Oryzias latipes: one gene and its partners. The main gene of each other region encodes a partner of the protein of the gene in region 2 in a complex. Links are inferred from orthologs where the notes say so. Each region holds a gene or a part of one and is shown on either strand. Other genes may lie near its edges.

Region 1 (5,761 bases), on a different chromosome or scaffold from region 2:
ATGTAATCCATGGACACCAGTGAAGATCACAAATCATTGAAGAAAAAAGGTTCAGAGCACCGTCTAGTGGGTCTAGATGACCCCACTCCCAACGTTAAAGTGCCTAGGATAGCAAAAGGGTTAAACAGCATCCATACCACCTTCTTCTTTTCCTCAAATTCTATTTTAAAGAAATCATGTTCAGGTGCATTTTCTGAAACTTAACATTTGGCTATTTAAGTCTAATAGGTCAATTATTTTTTTCATTTACTTAAAAATGTTAAGTTTTGAAACTGGATCTTTAGAAACGGGGATGCTCAACAAAGTTGACTGGAACAATTCAATTCTGTCACTTCTTAAACTTTTATGGAGAGTAGTGTTGTCTAAATCACTCTATTCAGTAATATGGTGGTGGTGATGAAGAACAACACTAAATCTTTTGGTTCTAACTGGGTCACCATGTTTTAAAAGCTTTTTGAGGACGCATCTTTCTGCACAGGGTGGATTAGAGCGCCATCTGGTGGTGAATCTGATACAGCAATTTTAAAAAGATCATTCAACATCTTTGAGTTTAAACAACTGATTGTTTTCCTCGAGCAGATAAGAAAAACTTAGCATTAAAAACGGAGAAATCAAGTTTAATTTAAACCTTTTAACTATCAAAACATAGAAATCAACATTTAACTCTTTGTTTTCAAAATGTAAAGGGCATTTCTTTCTAAATAAAATGTATTATTATTAATTAAATACAATAGAACCATTCAATCCAGTGTTTCCCAAACCTGGTTCTTGGGAAATCCTCTTCTGTTCAAACACACCTGCTGTCATTTACAGGCTTCTGATGAGGCTGACAATGAAATGAATCAGGTGACGTTAAGAACAACAAAAGAGACGTGCAGGACAGTGTTCTCCGAGGACCAGGGTTGGGAAGCGCTGGTTTGATGAACCGATGCTCCACATCCGTCCTCTGGGAGCCGGGGTGGATCAGCTGAGCGTCAGGATCCAGAAGACAAAAACCTCAGGAGGTCACAGCAAAAACAGAGCAGCAATCATGTAACCACACAGACCTATCCTGACAAAAATGTATGTTTTAGAAAAAGTATGTTTGTTGTGCAAGTACAGCACAGCCAGTGCAAACCAACTTTAATGTTTATTAAATGTTTTTAACTGCTTTTCCAACCGTAAGGTTTTAATTCCATTTTTTTTCCATCTTTATAGATGACTTTGGTTTAAAAAAAAAAAAAATTTTTTTAAACAAATAGTTTATGAACATATATTTGTAGTTCCCATGTGAAAACAATGAAACGTTTGTCTCCATCCAGACACGCTGCTGGCCGATCCCCAGATGAATCTGTCGGATGCTCCGTTGCACATGGAAAGCCTCACTTCAGTCCACATAAAAGGAAACTAGAAGTCTCATTTCTGTCGGTGCGGCCCAACGTCTCAATCCCACTGTCCTCAGTGAGCGTCTGCATGTGCAGCAGGGAAGTCCTCATCTTCCAAAGCATGACTCAGCGTAAATAGTATTCGATGGCAGCAGAGAAAGCAGCAAATCCTCCACATCCAAGAACTCCAGCCTTCAGCCCGGCTGCAAAAACAAAACAACGAAAACTTAACATCAGTGAGGAAAACAGAACAAAGAGGTCAGTAAAAAAAACAAGCTGCAAACCTCGAAATCCAATGACACCTCCGGTTACACAGCCGCTGTAAACGGCGTTCTTCCAGTCGGATTTGCCCCTGTGCTGCAAACCAAACACAAGCGCAACAGGAAAGTTCATGCAATATTCATTTGAGGCCAAAGTCAGAAAGAAAAATAAAAGAAGTCAGAAACTATTTACAAGTTAAAATAGGAAAATTCAGAGTAAACCAGCAGGGGGCACCAAAGAGCTCTGAAACCTCTGTTGGACTTTCTGTACAGAAACATCCCTTCAACATTGTAACCCTCGTGCTATCCTATCAAGATGACCATTGACGTCTTATCCCTACCATGACAAAGGTGGATAAAGGTGGAACGATTTCATGTAATAGTTCGGCGCACTGTATAGTGGGGTCTGAATGACCCAACTCCCAATGTTAAAGTGCCTAAGATAGCACAAGGGTTAAACAGTGTCTGGTGTTTCTAAAGCTGCAACAGCTGATTCTATTCTATTTTTATTTTTTTTTCTTCTTTTTTCTTCTCTTTCCTCTTCTTTCTCTTTTTTTCTTAACACACCTGCTAGCTGCAAAAAATGTTCACATGTCAACATGTACACAAAACAGATAGTGTTCACGAACGCATACCTATGTCTTTAAACCAACTAGTGTGAAATCTTTCATTCATTCAATCACGCAAACTATAAGTGCAAAGTGAGCTAACACCTGTGCTCAGGTGAGTGTTTATGTTCTTCTAAAATGGATGGTGGAATGTGAAAAGAAGGAGGAGGAGCGCCCAGCCACCCCCACACCCAGACCCCCGCCGCAGCAGCGGCGGCAGCCGGAATTCCCCCAACGCCACACGGGAACAGGCAGGGAACGACCGCCCCCCGGGCGACCAAGACCGCCACCCAGGCCAGGGCCAGCAGGACCGCCGCGAGGCCCCCAGAGCCAGAGAGCAGGGAGGCGCGGAGGGAAAGAGAGCGCCGCCCCAGCCCAGCCAGGAAAGCAGCCCCCCCGCCGCGCCGGAAGAGCCCAACGCAGGGCCCCACCGGAGAAGGACGCCCACAGCCCCAGACACCCAAGGGACACGGCCGCCATCGCCAAGGGGCACGCACCCCCCACCAGGGAAGGGGTAGGGGACAGATGGACCCAGGTCCCACCTTCCTTGCAAAATGTGTGTGCGTGTATGTGTGTATGAGAGGGTGTGTGTGTGTATGTGTGTGTGTTTATGTTGGAATGTATATATTGAAGGGGGAGGGGTGTGTGTACTAAGGAGGGTGCAGTTAAAATTGGCGAGTAGGGCACTAGGGGGACATCTCCTGATTACTCACAATGATGTCCCCTCACCCTCCCCACCAAGGGGCCCTAAATGTCTAAGGTGCGGTTAAAATTAGCGGGTAGGGTGCCAGGAGGACGTCTGCTGCTTGCTTGCAGTGATGTCCAAGCACCCCCCCTACCAAGGACCCTTCATGTCTAAGGTGCAAATAAAACCGAAAGAGGGGGGGCCCACTCCATACGGCAACCATAGGAGGGGGGCCACTGCCAAGTAGCCCCCCCCCAAGGTGCATCGCAGGCTAGACCCCCCCACCCCCTCACCCTAATATGAGGTTATATGAGGAAGGGGGTAAGTTGGGGACAGCTGGTAGACTGTCAAACAGCTGTCCCCCAGCAAAGAGGCCAGGGCCACCCAGCCCAGGGGCCCCACTCCCGGAGGCGCAGACACCCCAGGCCCGGCACCACCCACCCCACACAGAGAGAGAGGAGCCAGAGAGCGCCGCCCCCCCGGAGCAAGCCCAGGCCCCCACCCCCAGACGCCGGCCCTAGAGGAGCTCTGGTCAGGCCTTGACGGGACCGAGGAGGCCAACCGGCCGAGGCAACCACTGATTGCCTCAGCGGAGACCCCGACCCGTTAGCCCCCCCGACCCGTACCAATAATGGCCCCCCCTCCCCCCCAGAACGCCCCCCCACAGGACAGGGCCGACAAGCCCCCCACCCCACCCCAGACCCCGCAGCCGAAGCGGATGACACCCAGAGCGACCGGGGGCCCCGAGAGGGTTGTCCCGTCCCGCCCCAGAGCCAGGGAAGGGCCGATCCCAGCCCCAGGTGCAGATGGGCAGCCCGTCCGGCGCCGCTGGCACCCCCCCCCCCCCCCGAGCAGGGCCCCCGCCAACCCCCCCCAGCGCAGGCAAAGGGACCACCCCCCCAAGCCAAGCCAGACCACCACCCCACCCCCCACCACGCACACCCAAGCCCAGAGGACCACGCAGCGCCCCAGCCCGCCCCACCCAGGCACCGGACCCGACCCCCCGACCAACGGAGCCCCCACCGCCCCCGCCAGGCACCGGAGGCCCCGACCCCCACCCCAAACCACGGCAGAAGGGCAAGGAGCAGCGACAACCAAGCCCCCCACCCCTTAAGTCATGGAGTCAACCATAGGAGACCAGAGAGACCGAATTCTTTCAAAGTTACTTGAGCTTTGGGCTGACATTTTTTCCAAGCTGATATGATCAAACAGCAGATTTCTCTGTTGACTTATGTTTATATTTTTCTTGTTTTTCCAATTTATTAAAATAGTTTTTTTGGCAATACAAAGAGTTGTGAAAATGATAGATGCTAATCCTTCTTCTATATCGATGGCACTCATGTCACCAAGCACACAAAGTGACGGTGAAGCCGTGATTGAAACCTTAAGCCAGACTGATAAATCGGCACATACCTGCTGCCAGAGTATTTTTCTTATTTTTAACTAAAGTATCATATGTCATGTGACCTAAAACCAGACTCCATACATGCAGTTAAAGGAAAACATGTTAAAAATGATAAAAAAAATGAAATTATAATTGATTTTTATACATTTAATGACATGTTTTATATTAACATGTGTGTTTGTTTAGAATATATTTAGAGTACAATTCTCACGTGTTTGTATCATACAAGTGCAAATTGCTTCGTCCTCTACTTTTCATGCTATCCCCATTGAAAAGGGCTCGTCATTTACCCTTGTTTCGTTTATTTCATATTTCAATATTGTTTTTATAGTATGAACACTGTAGATATTTGTTGATGTGGCTGCATTCATTTATGGTCTGCATGACCCTTCAGAGGTCATCTGCTCCTCATTTAGGTCCTTTTACCTGATGATGAGGCTTCAGAGCAAAAACCTTCCAGTAAATGTTCACTTTTGTGAGTTTGCAGGAATGCCTCTCCTTTCTGCCTGATTTTGTTTGGGCTTTAACCTATACACTCGTCTACCAGGTGAAGCGCACAGAAACTTCCCAATAGTTTGGTTGGGTGCAAATTAAAACTCTGGGATGGGACGTTTCCTGGGTTTGCTGTTAAAAAACCCATCAATGCCGTACACAAAGCCTGCCCTGATGCTGTCGACCCCCCAAACAAGGAGCTGGAAAACAACAATTCAGGAAAAGAAGGAAAGGAGAAGATTTGACAAGAAATTCTAGACTTTAAGACTTTCTAGAGCTTTGAATCTGAACTACTTTAATCCTATGAAACAGAATCTGTCAGAATACTAGTGCACTAAATAGCTTAGCTGTGTTTTTAAAGGATAAATACTTGTTCTTTTGATTTAAATGGATGAAAGGAAACTTAAAAAGACAACAAATATGTTTAAAACGTTAGCTACACCAAATATTGCTTGTCTGATAACTAATAATCAGCTAAAAACGGTCATTGTCAGTCCAACGACAACGTCATAATTGTCCTGTTCTGTTTTGTGTTGTTGCACAGTGTGCTGTACTTTTTTTTTTTTTAACCCTTGAAGTTGTGGTTCCATCCTGGTTGAGTGGGTTTGGACTTCAGAACACTGGAGACTAATGGGTCTGTTTACAGGAGCTGGATATTTCCCACTAAAAACATGAACAGAACAGATCCGTCTGGAGTTTGCTTTGGCTCTCTTGTTCCTCTGTGACTTTAAACTGAACCCACACAGTCAGTGTGCAGAAGAAAAGTGCAGCTGCAGCAGCATTACCCATGTTTGGATTTACTTCATTGCTATCGGTTGGATTCAAGATCATCCAAATTCAGCGAAAACCAAAGTTGAGTTGCGGCGATGGCAGCCTCTCTTGGGGTGCAGAGCAAAACCGAAAGTTGGAAAAAAAAAGAATGAGCGTGAACTGACTTTCCAATCCTA
Region 2 (5,802 bases):
TCTCTTTTTTTTAGCAGTTATCAGTGAGTTAATCAATATGCCGAAGTATTTATGTCGGTGATGGAAAAAGTTTGGGATAAGATGATACAACTCATTCTGGTCAAATGTTGGGATTTTCTTAGCGTGGGGTGAAAACCCCAAAATGCTTGTCCTCTCAGTGATGAGCTTGGCTGGTCTGCTGAACCTGAGAGGTGGATGCTGGGATGTTGTCATTATTTTATTAATGTGTCTCTAAATATTTTTCCTATCTGGTAGTTCTGTGTTTTTTTAAATTAACATCTTTACAGGAGGGGTCTGTTGTGGTGGAGATTTCAAAGGAGACCAGCCGGTCTCCACTGATGGACGTGCGTCTTACTGCTCGTCTCTCCAGTCCAACGTGTCCGTGGACCACAACTCTCAGCCTCAAACCCCCCAGAGAACTGTGCTGCTGGTTGATCAAAGAGAGGAGGACGACGAGGAGGAGGAAGATATCGATGTTGTGCTATATTCTCCAGACAACGGGGCTCCTCGTGGAGCTGTACTCAATAGCATGGTCGTAACCGTAGATGAAGAAGAGGAAGATGTGAATGAGATTGATGTGACTGGAGATGAGGCCTAGGAGCATTCTCAGATCTGTGTGCCATGTGTCGTTGATTTCTTTTTAGGTTGGGTTTTCTGCAAGCTCTTTCGAAGCAAAACATGTCACCTCGTTCTGTTCCAAACACACCGTTCAAACTGACGTGTCAGTTTCTGTAGTTTACTAAAGGAAGCCTGTTCTGACTGTTGTTTTTCTTTTTTTATCTATAGGTTTGACATTTCACTAAAATTTTCAGTTGTTTTCGGTTGAGCTGCTGGAAGTAAATGTGCATTGTGGAGTCCGCTCTTTGTTTTGATGCTGAATTTAAAAAAAACATGGCATATTTTATGTACAGTTTATTAAAAAAAGAAAAAGTCAGTTTTCATGGTTGTGCTTTTTTTTCTAGCACAGAAGTTGTGGAGGTTGGTCCTGGTTTGAATTCTGGCTGGTTTCTTTCTGAGTGGAGATTGTGTGTCCTCTTGGTTCATGCGTGGGTCTTCTCTGGTCTTCTCTGACTTCCTCTCACAGTCCAAAAGCTTCAGGATTGCTTTCTTGGATTGTCCTTTGAGTGCGAGTGTATGTTTGTCTGTGTGGTTGTGTTCTTCAGTGGACTGGTGTGCTGTCCCGGGTGTTCCCTGCCTTTGCCCTTTGTTAATGCTGCAGTCACATGCACCCGTGCGGGGGCTCACCCGATGGGGTGCTGCAAGTGTTAGGGTTGTCGGTGCCCATGGGGGGGCAGAGAGAGGAGCAGCCACATCTTACAGGGAGCTCAGGTTTGTCTTGCAATTCACTTGAGGCTCCTACAGGCACCTAAAGGGATGTTATGATTATGAAAATGGAAGGTACCATTGTTGTGTGTGGGGAAATGGTAAGTTATTTGTAAGAATAATGCAAGTAAAGTGCAGTTATGGTCTCATGCTGTGCCTTAATGTCGCTCTCTAGTCTGAGGTGCACGCACCGGCTCCTTACTGACTGCACAGAAGTGCTGCACACACGGGAGATGTACGAAAAGCATCAGTTCTTCGTAGGACGTCAACACAAACTAAGCTGTATCATTTCCTCATTTCTAACAGGCTTCATGCCTGGAGCACATTTATCACCTGAACAGCACTAGCAGGCCCCATGCACACGGTTCAGGGGCTTGAAAAAATGACATCCTCTCCACCTGTACTTTTGTTTGAACATTTGCTAATAGCATCAGGAAATGTATCAAGTAGAATTTGGAATTTAGCTTATTTTCATAATCAGCAAAACTAAACAGGATGTTGTCCATGTAAAAATGAAAAGGGAATTAATTTGAATCCTAAAAGTTGACTTTGCTCCTAAGTCCAGTTCTCATGTCCGGTCAAAGCTCTGTAGTACAGATATGATCCACAGGGGGGCGCGCTGATTTAGACTCGACCTTTTTAAAGTAAACTTTATTTATACCGGAAGTCAGACGCGACATCACACGTGTGTTAGGATTTGAAGGTGACAGTAGCATCGCGGCTTGCTGTTATCCAGCTGGAGAGGGTCACCGGCGCTGGGCTCGGTTGTGAAACGACACGGAGGGCGAGAATGGATCCTGTGAAAGCGCAGCAGCTGGCGGCGGAGCTGGAGGTGGAGATGATGGCGGACATGTACAACCGGTAGGTCTTCATCTCTGTGTACCGTCATATGACATGCATGCGGACACACACTCTGCAGCACCATCATCCATTCCCGACCACCATCCATGGCCGTGTTAAAGAGGGTCTTCAGCGCCAGAGACAAACAGCCTGATCCATTTAGGCCTTTGCTTGACATCATGAGACGGACACAACAATGAATGGGATTTTTTCAGCACAGCTTCGCCATAATCTACAGCCATACGGAACCCTGAATATCTTTTTTTAAGTCACCTCATTCTGATCGTCTGTGGCCAGGAGTTAGTATTCTGTATTCTCACATTCGCATTTTGTGCATACATATTGACATGTTGTAGCCTCACATTATAGGAATTAAAGTTTTTATTATATAAGCTGTGCACACAACACAAAAAAGCAGTGTGCACATAATATTTGTTTTTGCACACAAAATGCTACTAAAATGTTGGCCACAATCGAATCTATACAGATTTATAAATGTATTTCTTGTTTATGTCATGCCCAGGGCTTCTAATGGCTGCTTTTTTCCATTAATGTCACCCTAAGGGACCTGCGTGACTTCCTCTGACCTGAAAACATGCCGGTAATTTAGTGCTGACCAAAGCAAAGGCAGCGCTGTTGTTCTGTGTCTACTGATGTTTGCAGCTGGACCTCCTGGGAGCAGAGGAGGCTCCTCATTCATTCCCAGCAGATGCATTTCACTTTCTTTAACCCACTTATTTATATTTTAACTTTATTAACTAATAATGCACATACAAAATACCAAACACAAAACTCCACCACACAGTGTGCAAAATACCATTTTCACATTCACCAGGAAAATGAACAAAAAAATTGAAAAACGATAATAATGATGATGTAAAACAGGTTAAGCAAAAATAATAAAGGCAAAGGAATCTGTTTTTTTCAGAAGAGACCATGTTTCAACTGTAATGACAGCTTTTTTGTTATACTGTTTACACACAGTGCCATTTCTTTCTGGAAAACATAAAATACCGTTTTTTTTTGTTGTCATATTTACACTTGTGTATAAAGTATTTAGCCATAATTATAAGTAAATTAACTACATATATTTTCTCTGCATCAAGTTTCCCTATGTGTAAAATGTCCAAAAATAATATGGTATCATAAAATAATCTATAATCTTCACATAGATTTTAAAATCTATCAAATCTTTCCAAAATACTTGAGTGAAGGAGCAAACCCAAAAAAGATGAGACACAGTTTCTGGTGAGGAATGACAAAATGAACAATTTATTTTCAGATTTCTTTTTTTTAAACTTGGTAATGAAGTGTTTCACTGGATAAGATTTATGAAGAATTTCGAAAGATATTTCTCTGATTTTCTCTGATTTTCTTGGTGATGACATACTTTTGGGGCAGGGACCAAACCTTTTCCCCCTGAATTCTACAGCCAAACCTATTCCAGTGTGAGATAACATACGGTTTTGTTGTAATCTCATTTTGAAACAGAGAACGGATACTTTGATTATTCCTGCCAGCTGAAAAACAAATCTTTCCACACCACAATTCTGTTCATTTGGGAGGAGAACATGGAGTATTTGAAGGAGAACTGCTCCACAGAAGTCTAACAGCACCTGGGATGGCTCCAGTAACCAATGCAAGCTCTGCAGGGGAGACATGCAGACTATAGGTGGACAGAAACTCAACAGATGACATCAGGTTACATGGTGGATTTACAAGAAAAATGTTCTTTTCAAACCAATTTTCAAGAAAAATCCTCTTGTTTTTGTATAGAATATCTGCATTATTCCAAATATAGTAGCGATGAGGAGAAACATTATGTTTGTAGATCAAAGTCCATGCCAATAAAACCTGCTTATGAAAATTAGACAGCTTCAAAGGAATTTTCCCTATTTTGAAATAACATAATAGAAGAAATGACAGACCTCCAAACTTATCAAATATATATTTCGGTATGAAATTCCAAAATGAAGTTTTTTAACTATTTAATTTTGAGGACATTATTTAGAGTGGAAAAGTCAAGAAATTCAAGTTCTCCGTCTTTTGATGAATTAATTACTACTGACTTTCGAACATAGTGGATTCTGTTTCTCCAAAGACAATTAAAAAGTATCTGATCAATCCTTTTTGCATTTTTACTGTCCAGAGATGGTGAGGAAGCAATGTAAACTAGTCTGGAAATCCCTTCTGCTTTTGCTAAGAGAGCACAACCTTTTGGTGAAAGATCTCTTTGTAGCCAGCAGTTAAACTGATTTTGTGCTTTTGCAATCATAGAATATAGTTATTCAGTTCTCTTTGTTTTTGATCTTTAGTTATCTGCAATCCCAAATATGTGACATTTTCTTTGACTACTATACTATTTATGGATGTTAGAGCACATTGAGAGGAAATAACTCACATTTCTTTAGGTTTAGATAAAGTCCAGATGCTTTTGAAAATGTATCTATAACTTGAAGAACCCTGGCAACCTGTGAGGAGTTTTTCAAGAATAATGTGGTGTCATCTGCCAGCTGACTTATAAGAATGTTTTTACCAGCAAGAGAAATCCCATTAATATTATTCGATTGAATATGTCTGCAGAAAACTTGTGCAACCAGAAGAAACAGGTACACAGAGACAGGACGTCCCTGTCTAATTCCTCTCTGGAGACAGAATCTGCGAGTGGTGCCAGAACTCAACTTAACAGAACTATTTCCGTTTGCGTAGAGGCTTTTAACAGCACTAGACAAATATCCCCAAAAATCCCCAAAACCAATCTTTTCCAGACAGTAGAATAGAAAAGGATGCTCAACGGTATCAAATGCCTTACAAAAATCAAGGAGCAGAGTGAAGCTTTCATCATCACTGATGAGTCTGAATAATCTATGAGATTGTTGGAGATGCATCTGTCTTTCATGAAACCTGACTGATTCTCATCTACTACTGCATCAACAACACTTTTCATTCTCATTGTGGCAACAATTTTATAACCATTATTAAGTAGACTAATAGGTCTCCAGTTATCTATTAGCAAAGTATCTTTGTTGGGTTTGGGGATCAGGGAAATAACCCCCTGAGTCATGCTGGCTGGAAGAGTCATATTTGTGATCCTTTCTGTGTAAACATTCAATAAAAATGGGGTTAAGATTTTTGAGAAAAGCTTATAAAATTCTGCTGTTATTCCGTCGTTCCCAGGGGACTTGTTGTTTTTCAGATTGTTATTAGCATCTGAAGCTTCCTGTAAAGAAATGACAGAATCACAAGCCAATTTATCCTCTTCACTGACTTTATTTATGTTATTCAAGGAATCACAAAATGAAATCATTGCTTCCTGACTAAATGTTGTCTTTTAAAGTAATAATCATGACAAAAACTAGAAATAAGCTTTTTATTTGTAATGTTTGCATCTATATTTAACTGTAACACTGAACACTTTGAAAAATAAAAAACATGCTCCTCATGTAGGTTTTCTGGTGGTAAACTTGAGAGTTCAGTAATTTCAGAGATAATTTCTTCTTCTAATTTACGTTTAGATTTTGCCTGAATGCTAAAAAATTTAGAAACTTCACATTGTAAGAGCTCCCAGTCCGAAGTGGGTGGAAGCCTTTTCCAGCTGTTTTTTTTTCCAGTAAAGTTTAATGAGTCTCTTAATCACTG
Region 3 (5,653 bases), on a different chromosome or scaffold from region 2:
ACAGAGAGACATTCATGAAGCAGTTTTTTTCTTTTTATTTCCTTTTCTGCATCTATTCACTCCTCTTTTCCAGCCTTTTTCCTCTTCAAGGCTAAAGCTTCTCTTTATTTTCATAACAGGCTTAAAGTCTTCAGCTTTAAACCCGTCGTCGGTTACGCTGCTGGAAAAAAAAACTACTTTGAACTGAGTCAAGACGACATGAAAATCGTGTGTCGTTCTGTAAACTTAACATAATTACACGCCTGGAAAAAGCTGAATTTAACTAAAAATGTGAAAGAAAGTGTCTTACATATTGATGTAAAAACAATACAGTTTAAGTTGACATGCTTCACTCTTTTTTTCATCCAGACAGACGTAAAAGGTCCATTTTCAGGCAGTTCTGGTGTTGTTTCTCCTCTCCGCTCCGGCTGCTGTCGCTGCTCTTCGGAGGCTTTTCATCCTCGTCACTGTGGCTGTGAGAGGAGCTGCTCCCGGCGCTCCGCGCTGATGAAAAAACGCAGTTTCCTGGGCAACAGCCTGACCTCCACAGGCATGGCTTCGTACTCCTCGTTGTCGATGTTGAAGAAGCCAGAGACGCCCTGCAGGGGTTTACGCACAAACATTCACATCAAGGAGAAAGAGCTGAGAGAAGAAAGCATTTTTCTGAAATCTCCCACCTCTGGTAGTTTGAGCTGGCAGGCTCCGGCCTCCAGTTTGGTCGAATTTTGTGTGAAAGCTGTCGGATCCGCCTCTTTTTTGCTCCTTTACAATGACAAATCGATGCAAACAGAAACTTTTAAAAACACTTTAGTGGACGCTTTGAACGCAGCTGACTGATAAAAGAGGAAGTTCCTAACCCCACGCTGATGAACTCCCCCACGGTGAAGCTGTCGGGCTCTGCCCGGATCACCATGGAGTCATGGAGGCGCTGCAACGCAAAACAACCAATTTTAACGTGCGAGGGGCGATCTTAGCAGTGATTCAAAGTCACACCCACCCTCTCCACCGGGTTCTTGTTGTGCGTTTGAACGTACAGCTCCACCGTGGCCAGCTGTTGCTCCTCCCACTTCTCCGCCACCTCCACTTTAGGAGGCTCTGAGCAGATGAGCCGGCAGAACACAAATAAATACGACATTACTGTGTGATCTTCTGCAACACAATCACACAAGCTCACCTTTAACCGGGGGGTTCCAGTAGCTTTTTAGTCGGCGCACAATGCGGCGGAGCAGGTTGGGCCTGGGGGGTTTCTGAGGGGGCAGATCGGGGGGTCGGAGACTGGGAGCCAGGTATGAAATTGAAAGTTGTCGGACCAGGGGCCACTCCTGCGAAAAGGCAAAAAAGAAAAAAGCAGGTGTAAACGAAACGGCATCACACTGCAGTGACATAGAACGGTGTCTGTTTGTACTGTTTATGTTGTTTTTTTAAGTGTCACACAATCCTTTGTTTGTCCGCCTTGAACAAACTGAGCCGCTGGGCTCAGAGCAAGAACAGAAACATTTCTCTGATATTTGTTACGTTTAATGACCAAAATGTCAGAGACTGTTCATGAAATCATAATTGATTCATTTCCTTTTATTTTCAAACACCCAATAGTAAAATATCAGGATAAACAGACAAACAAAAAGGAGTGGGTAGAGGAGAAATCGTAATAATTCCCACCATATTCTTATATTTGATACATTTTTACATGTTAAACACTGAATAATTATTCACATAGACACAAAATAATTAAAGGAAAAGAAGCATCAAGGTACCAAAACAGCATCATTAATTCATGAATGTTTTTTTACATTTTCCCATTAAGCTTCTCGTTTTAGAATTTCCAAAATTCCAGTTTGTATTTTTATTTTTACTCTTTCCTCCGTGTTATTTCACAATTCTATTTGTTGGAAACACAGAATAAGGAATACTCCTTTCTTAGTGAAAAAAAAAGGTTTTATGTGAAGAAAATGTACCTTCAGAGTTTGAAACCAGTGCGCTGCGTTTGTCTTCAATGGTCCGAGGTACCAGTATCTGTTTGAAAGTGCATTAATCCATTTATTCGTATGCACGATCAATCGCGTAACCATGGTTACAGCCCAAACAACCATACTTGCTGATTGTGGCGGCCACGTCCCTGAAAGCCCCCCAACGCAGACCCATCAGAGCAAAGACGGGCTGATCTGTCTCTCCCTACAAAAAAAACACACACACGTCAGCACTGCAGCGTAAACTCACAGGGGTTTTTTGTAGGAAATATGAATGCTAAAAAGTAACTTATGCATTAAAATGTACATGTTTTTAACAGGAAAAAAAAATATTTTATTACTTTGATTTGCAGCACATCCAGAGGTACAGTTTCTCCTCTCAGAATCGACAGTGTGGCTGAAGTAATGTCCCTAAAAAGTATGTTTATCACATCAAATACAAGTTCATTTTAAACATTTTAAAAAGAGATTTTTGTTTTCAACTTACTTAACTTTGTTGTCGCTGAGGAGATGAAGACTCGGACTCAGGGAATTGTGAGAACCCAGAGGAATGTACCCAATCGGGACGTTACTAAAACTATCCTGCAGTCAGAAAACATATCTCAGTTTGCATCTTATAAATAAACCTAAAAACATTTATGTAATTACATTATTAGTTTTGCATACTTGATCCGGCCTTCTCAGCAAACCTGTGATGACCTCCTGCAAGGTGCCATCTCCTCCAGCCACGATCAGCATGTCTGTCTGCTCCAACAACTCCATCAGTTTTTTGGCCTGACCTTCATAATCTGTCTGTGGAGGACATGATATGACATTCAGCAAGGCATGATGGGATATTTGAGGATTTCTACCTACCAAAGCCATGTTTACAAAATTCCATCAAACCTTCACTATTTTTATCTCCACACCGGCCAGGTGTAAAATTGGAGCTGCATTCTTTTCGAATAATTTGTTGGCTTTCCTGGAGAAAATTATAACAAATAAATGCATAATTAGTAGGAGGGAAAGGAAGAAATCAGATTTGCATTTTTGACGTCTTCTTACCCGCTGCAAGCTGCAGGATTTAAAATTACAGTTGCTTTCTTTAGTTGCTCCTGTGGGGCAATCTGTTGCCGTCCAAATTCCTAGAATAGCAATAATTATTAGAGGCATACTCACATGAAATAATAATAATAAAAGGACAGTTAGTTCACATTTACCCTGGCCAACTGACAAGCTTCTCTGCGCAGGAGACTGTCGCTAGAAACACATAAAACACAGAATAAAGAAAGAGCTACACACGTGAACCCAGTTTGGATGACATTTTCAAAGATAAATAAAAACTCACCAATGTTTACCATACAACCAATACCCCCCATAGGACAGGACGCACACAGCTAAAGTGGACTTTTTCCAGTGATTCCGTATCGTCTTAAATACTTCTACAACCCGAGCCATGATTATTAATCCCCACAAAAAAACAGTCTACCTCTGTCACATACTCAAAATGCAAAGATTCTGACGATTTAAAGTGTTTTTGTGACAGCGGTCAAAACTCACACTGCGTGGAAGGAGTGGTGTAACAATACAATCGTTCCGTCTAAAACAAGGCGGAAATAATATCTACACATCTAAAGCGGTCGCTTTTTAAATAAAAAATATGAGCTTATTTTTGCATATTACCATTAACTATTAATTAAACAATACAAGTTCACAAAATATGAATATATGTAAGATGTTTTCCTTGATTTCATTTTTGAAATTGTAGTGTTCACACACTTCATTATATACTACAACTCCCACAGGGCACGGTTGCCCAAATCTTTCCGAGGACCCCGCCTGCACTAATAGTACAATCCTATTTTAAAATATTTAATGAATATTTTACAGGAAAAAAATGTGTTTGATTACATAAATTTTAAATGATGAGTGACATAATCAACAAATTAAAAATATATCTTCTGGATTAAACAATTTATCGTGTTAGATTTCAAACGGGCACATGCGCAGCATCTTACGTCCAGGTTTGATCCTGAGCTGATCATGGCGGGGCAGATGGCGGTAAATTTAGGTAAAGACTCTTTTTGAACCTTTGATTACAAATGTGTTTGTTTTAATTATTATTTAGGTGTAGGTTCGTGTAACCTTGTCCGGCGTTTCTGTTGTAGCGCGTTTTTACCCGTTTGAGTCATTCCAAGTATGGCACTGTTTGCTACTTTAGCCTAGCTTCGTTCATCATCATGTCAGGCCAAAGGAAGCTAGTTTGACTCAGGTTCTAGTCAAGTTAAGACAGATCGAGGCCATAAGACAGACTTGTGGCGACCGGGAATGTTCAGTTAATTAAAGTTATAAGAAAATGACAATAATTAAAGTCCATCAATTAAAAAATTCAGTCCAATATTGCGACTTAATTCAATTTGTATTCATGTGAAAATAAACGTCTCATGGATGGATTATATGCCAAAATATGCTGGCAAATTAGTTATGTTCATAATCTCTAAACTAATAAGTTTAAACTCTTGCTATGCATTGAAAAAGGTTTATCAGTTTTTCTGCTCATCAAAATATATAAATATTCAAGTGATCATTCATTATTAATTCTAAATATTAGATAAAGACTCTTGCATTATGGAAACTGAAAGATTCAGGGCAGATAGTTGATAAAATTAGTCATTTTCTCTTCAAACTAAAGCTTTGAGAAGCAAGTGGCTTTTTCTGAAGACCTATATGTTCTGTAAAAAGAAAAGTCTGAGACCGTGACATGTATGTAAGGTTTGTGTTAAAATGAGAGATTCAAGAATGAAATTAATCTGATTGGGCAGGAAGATGTTTGTTTTATTAAACTTGTTATGTTTTTTTAAATCCTACATTAGGGGTGTGTATCTTTTTCTCTGACATGATTTGATACGCTTCTCAATACATGGTCCAGCCCAATACTTTTACCCAAATGGATACAATCTAGATATATTTTACGCTTTTGGCGTTTAAAACCGTAAATTAAAATGTCTTTTAACAGAGAAACGGTTTTTCCCTAACTGGGAATTTTATTTTAAGGGAGAAAAAATCTAAATGTCTTTGATGTAGCAAGTTTAAACATTCTTTTATACTGTTTTTTTTTCTGTGTCTCATTTTAATTTGTTCAGGCATCATTTAAAGGGGAAAAAGGGTTTATCCTATGTTTAGTGCAAACACCTGGCATGCCTTGCTGGGGCCAGTTGGAATAAAGCCAAACTTTATCAGAGAAACAAAGTTTACCTGAAACGGATCATTTACTTCCTGATCGAATTGATCGACTTTTTACCATCTTAATCGTGTTCTTAGCTGTGGTTTTGTGATCCTCTGGGTTTTTTTTTTCATCCCTTTTTTTTTTTTTAACGAAGATTTACTGTCATGATCTCTGAAGGGAGCAGGTAAAAGGAAAAAGATGGATTTTCTGAGGTTGTCTCTGCTGGAGGTTTCCGCCTACTTTTCCCCTAAGAGCAGGCTTTCCTCTCCACGGTTGAAACCCTTTAAATAGTGTGTGTTGGCCACTCATTTAGGCTGCCATTAAAATTCTAACAGGACAAATAGACTTTTTTCAACATAATCAGGATTAAATTGGATGGAAATCAAATCAAACTGTATTTATTAAAAAGCGCTTCTCATACATTGCGGAACTCAAAGTGCTTTAAAATTTATGATTTGGAATTACTTTGATTTGTTTTGTCCTTTATTTTTTGACTAAATAT

Evidence for each region.
Region 1: the proteins of timm10 (region 2) and timm22 are in contact, whole or in part, in a cryo-EM structure (PDB 7CGP), measured with the Homo sapiens proteins. The link is inferred for Oryzias latipes from reciprocal best matches to the Homo sapiens genes TIMM10 and TIMM22. Residues at the interface, in NP_036588.1 of Homo sapiens: Pro3, Ala6, Gln7, Leu9, Ala10, Ala11, Leu13, Glu14, Val15, Met17, Met18, Ala19, Tyr22, Ser44, Lys45, Gly46, Glu47, Arg53, His62, Glu63, Gly66, Leu69, Thr70, Ser73, Met74; in NP_037469.2 of Homo sapiens: Tyr25, Ser26, Leu28, Leu29, Gln30, Tyr31, Leu32, Val33, Arg40, Leu42, Leu47, Gly48, Glu67, Glu144, Ser145, Tyr146, Gly148, Ser150.
Region 3: the proteins of timm10 (region 2) and agk are in contact, whole or in part, in a cryo-EM structure (PDB 7CGP), measured with the Homo sapiens proteins. The link is inferred for Oryzias latipes from reciprocal best matches to the Homo sapiens genes TIMM10 and AGK. Residues at the interface, in NP_036588.1 of Homo sapiens: Glu40, Glu42, Leu43, Ser44, Lys45, Gly46, Ser48, Arg53; in NP_060708.1 of Homo sapiens: Phe49, Gly50, Asn51, Gln52, Leu53, Ile54, Pro55, Pro56, Val60, Ser91, Gly92, Met93, Asp94, Val95.

Annotation. Positions count from the first base shown.
Region 1 is NC_019872.2:20,333,722-20,339,482, forward strand, and holds the end of timm22 (mitochondrial import inner membrane translocase subunit Tim22), read right to left. Parts: intron 1,722-5,761; coding exon 1,649-1,721; intron 1,568-1,648; coding exon 1,491-1,567; 3' UTR 1,105-1,490; downstream 1-1,104. UniProt on the Homo sapiens protein: Essential core component of the TIM22 complex, a complex that mediates the import and insertion of multi-pass transmembrane proteins into the mitochondrial inner membrane. In the TIM22 complex, it constitutes the voltage-activated and signal-gated channel.
Region 2 is NC_019859.2:27,361,139-27,366,940, reverse strand, and holds the start of timm10 (mitochondrial import inner membrane translocase subunit Tim10), read left to right. Parts: upstream 1-1,995; 5' UTR 1,996-2,113; coding exon 2,114-2,184; intron 2,185-5,802. Other genes in the region: uncharacterized protein LOC101170325, read left to right, coding at 288-598.
Region 3 is NC_019864.2:29,313,201-29,318,853, forward strand, and holds the start of agk (acylglycerol kinase, mitochondrial), read right to left. Parts: upstream 3,590-5,653; 5' UTR 3,384-3,589; coding exon 3,274-3,383; intron 3,186-3,273; coding exon 3,146-3,185; intron 3,071-3,145; coding exon 2,991-3,070; intron 2,908-2,990; coding exon 2,832-2,907; intron 2,739-2,831; coding exon 2,613-2,738; intron 2,529-2,612; coding exon 2,434-2,528; intron 2,358-2,433; coding exon 2,288-2,357; intron 2,152-2,287; coding exon 2,072-2,151; intron 1,993-2,071; coding exon 1,935-1,992; intron 1,302-1,934; coding exon 1,154-1,301; intron 1,075-1,153; coding exon 977-1,074; intron 908-976; coding exon 837-907; intron 742-836; coding exon 657-741; intron 579-656; coding exon 444-578; 3' UTR 1-443. Other genes in the region: nuclear pore complex protein Nup205, read left to right, coding at 3,969-3,996. UniProt on the Homo sapiens protein: Lipid kinase that can phosphorylate both monoacylglycerol and diacylglycerol to form lysophosphatidic acid (LPA) and phosphatidic acid (PA), respectively. Does not phosphorylate sphingosine. Phosphorylates ceramide.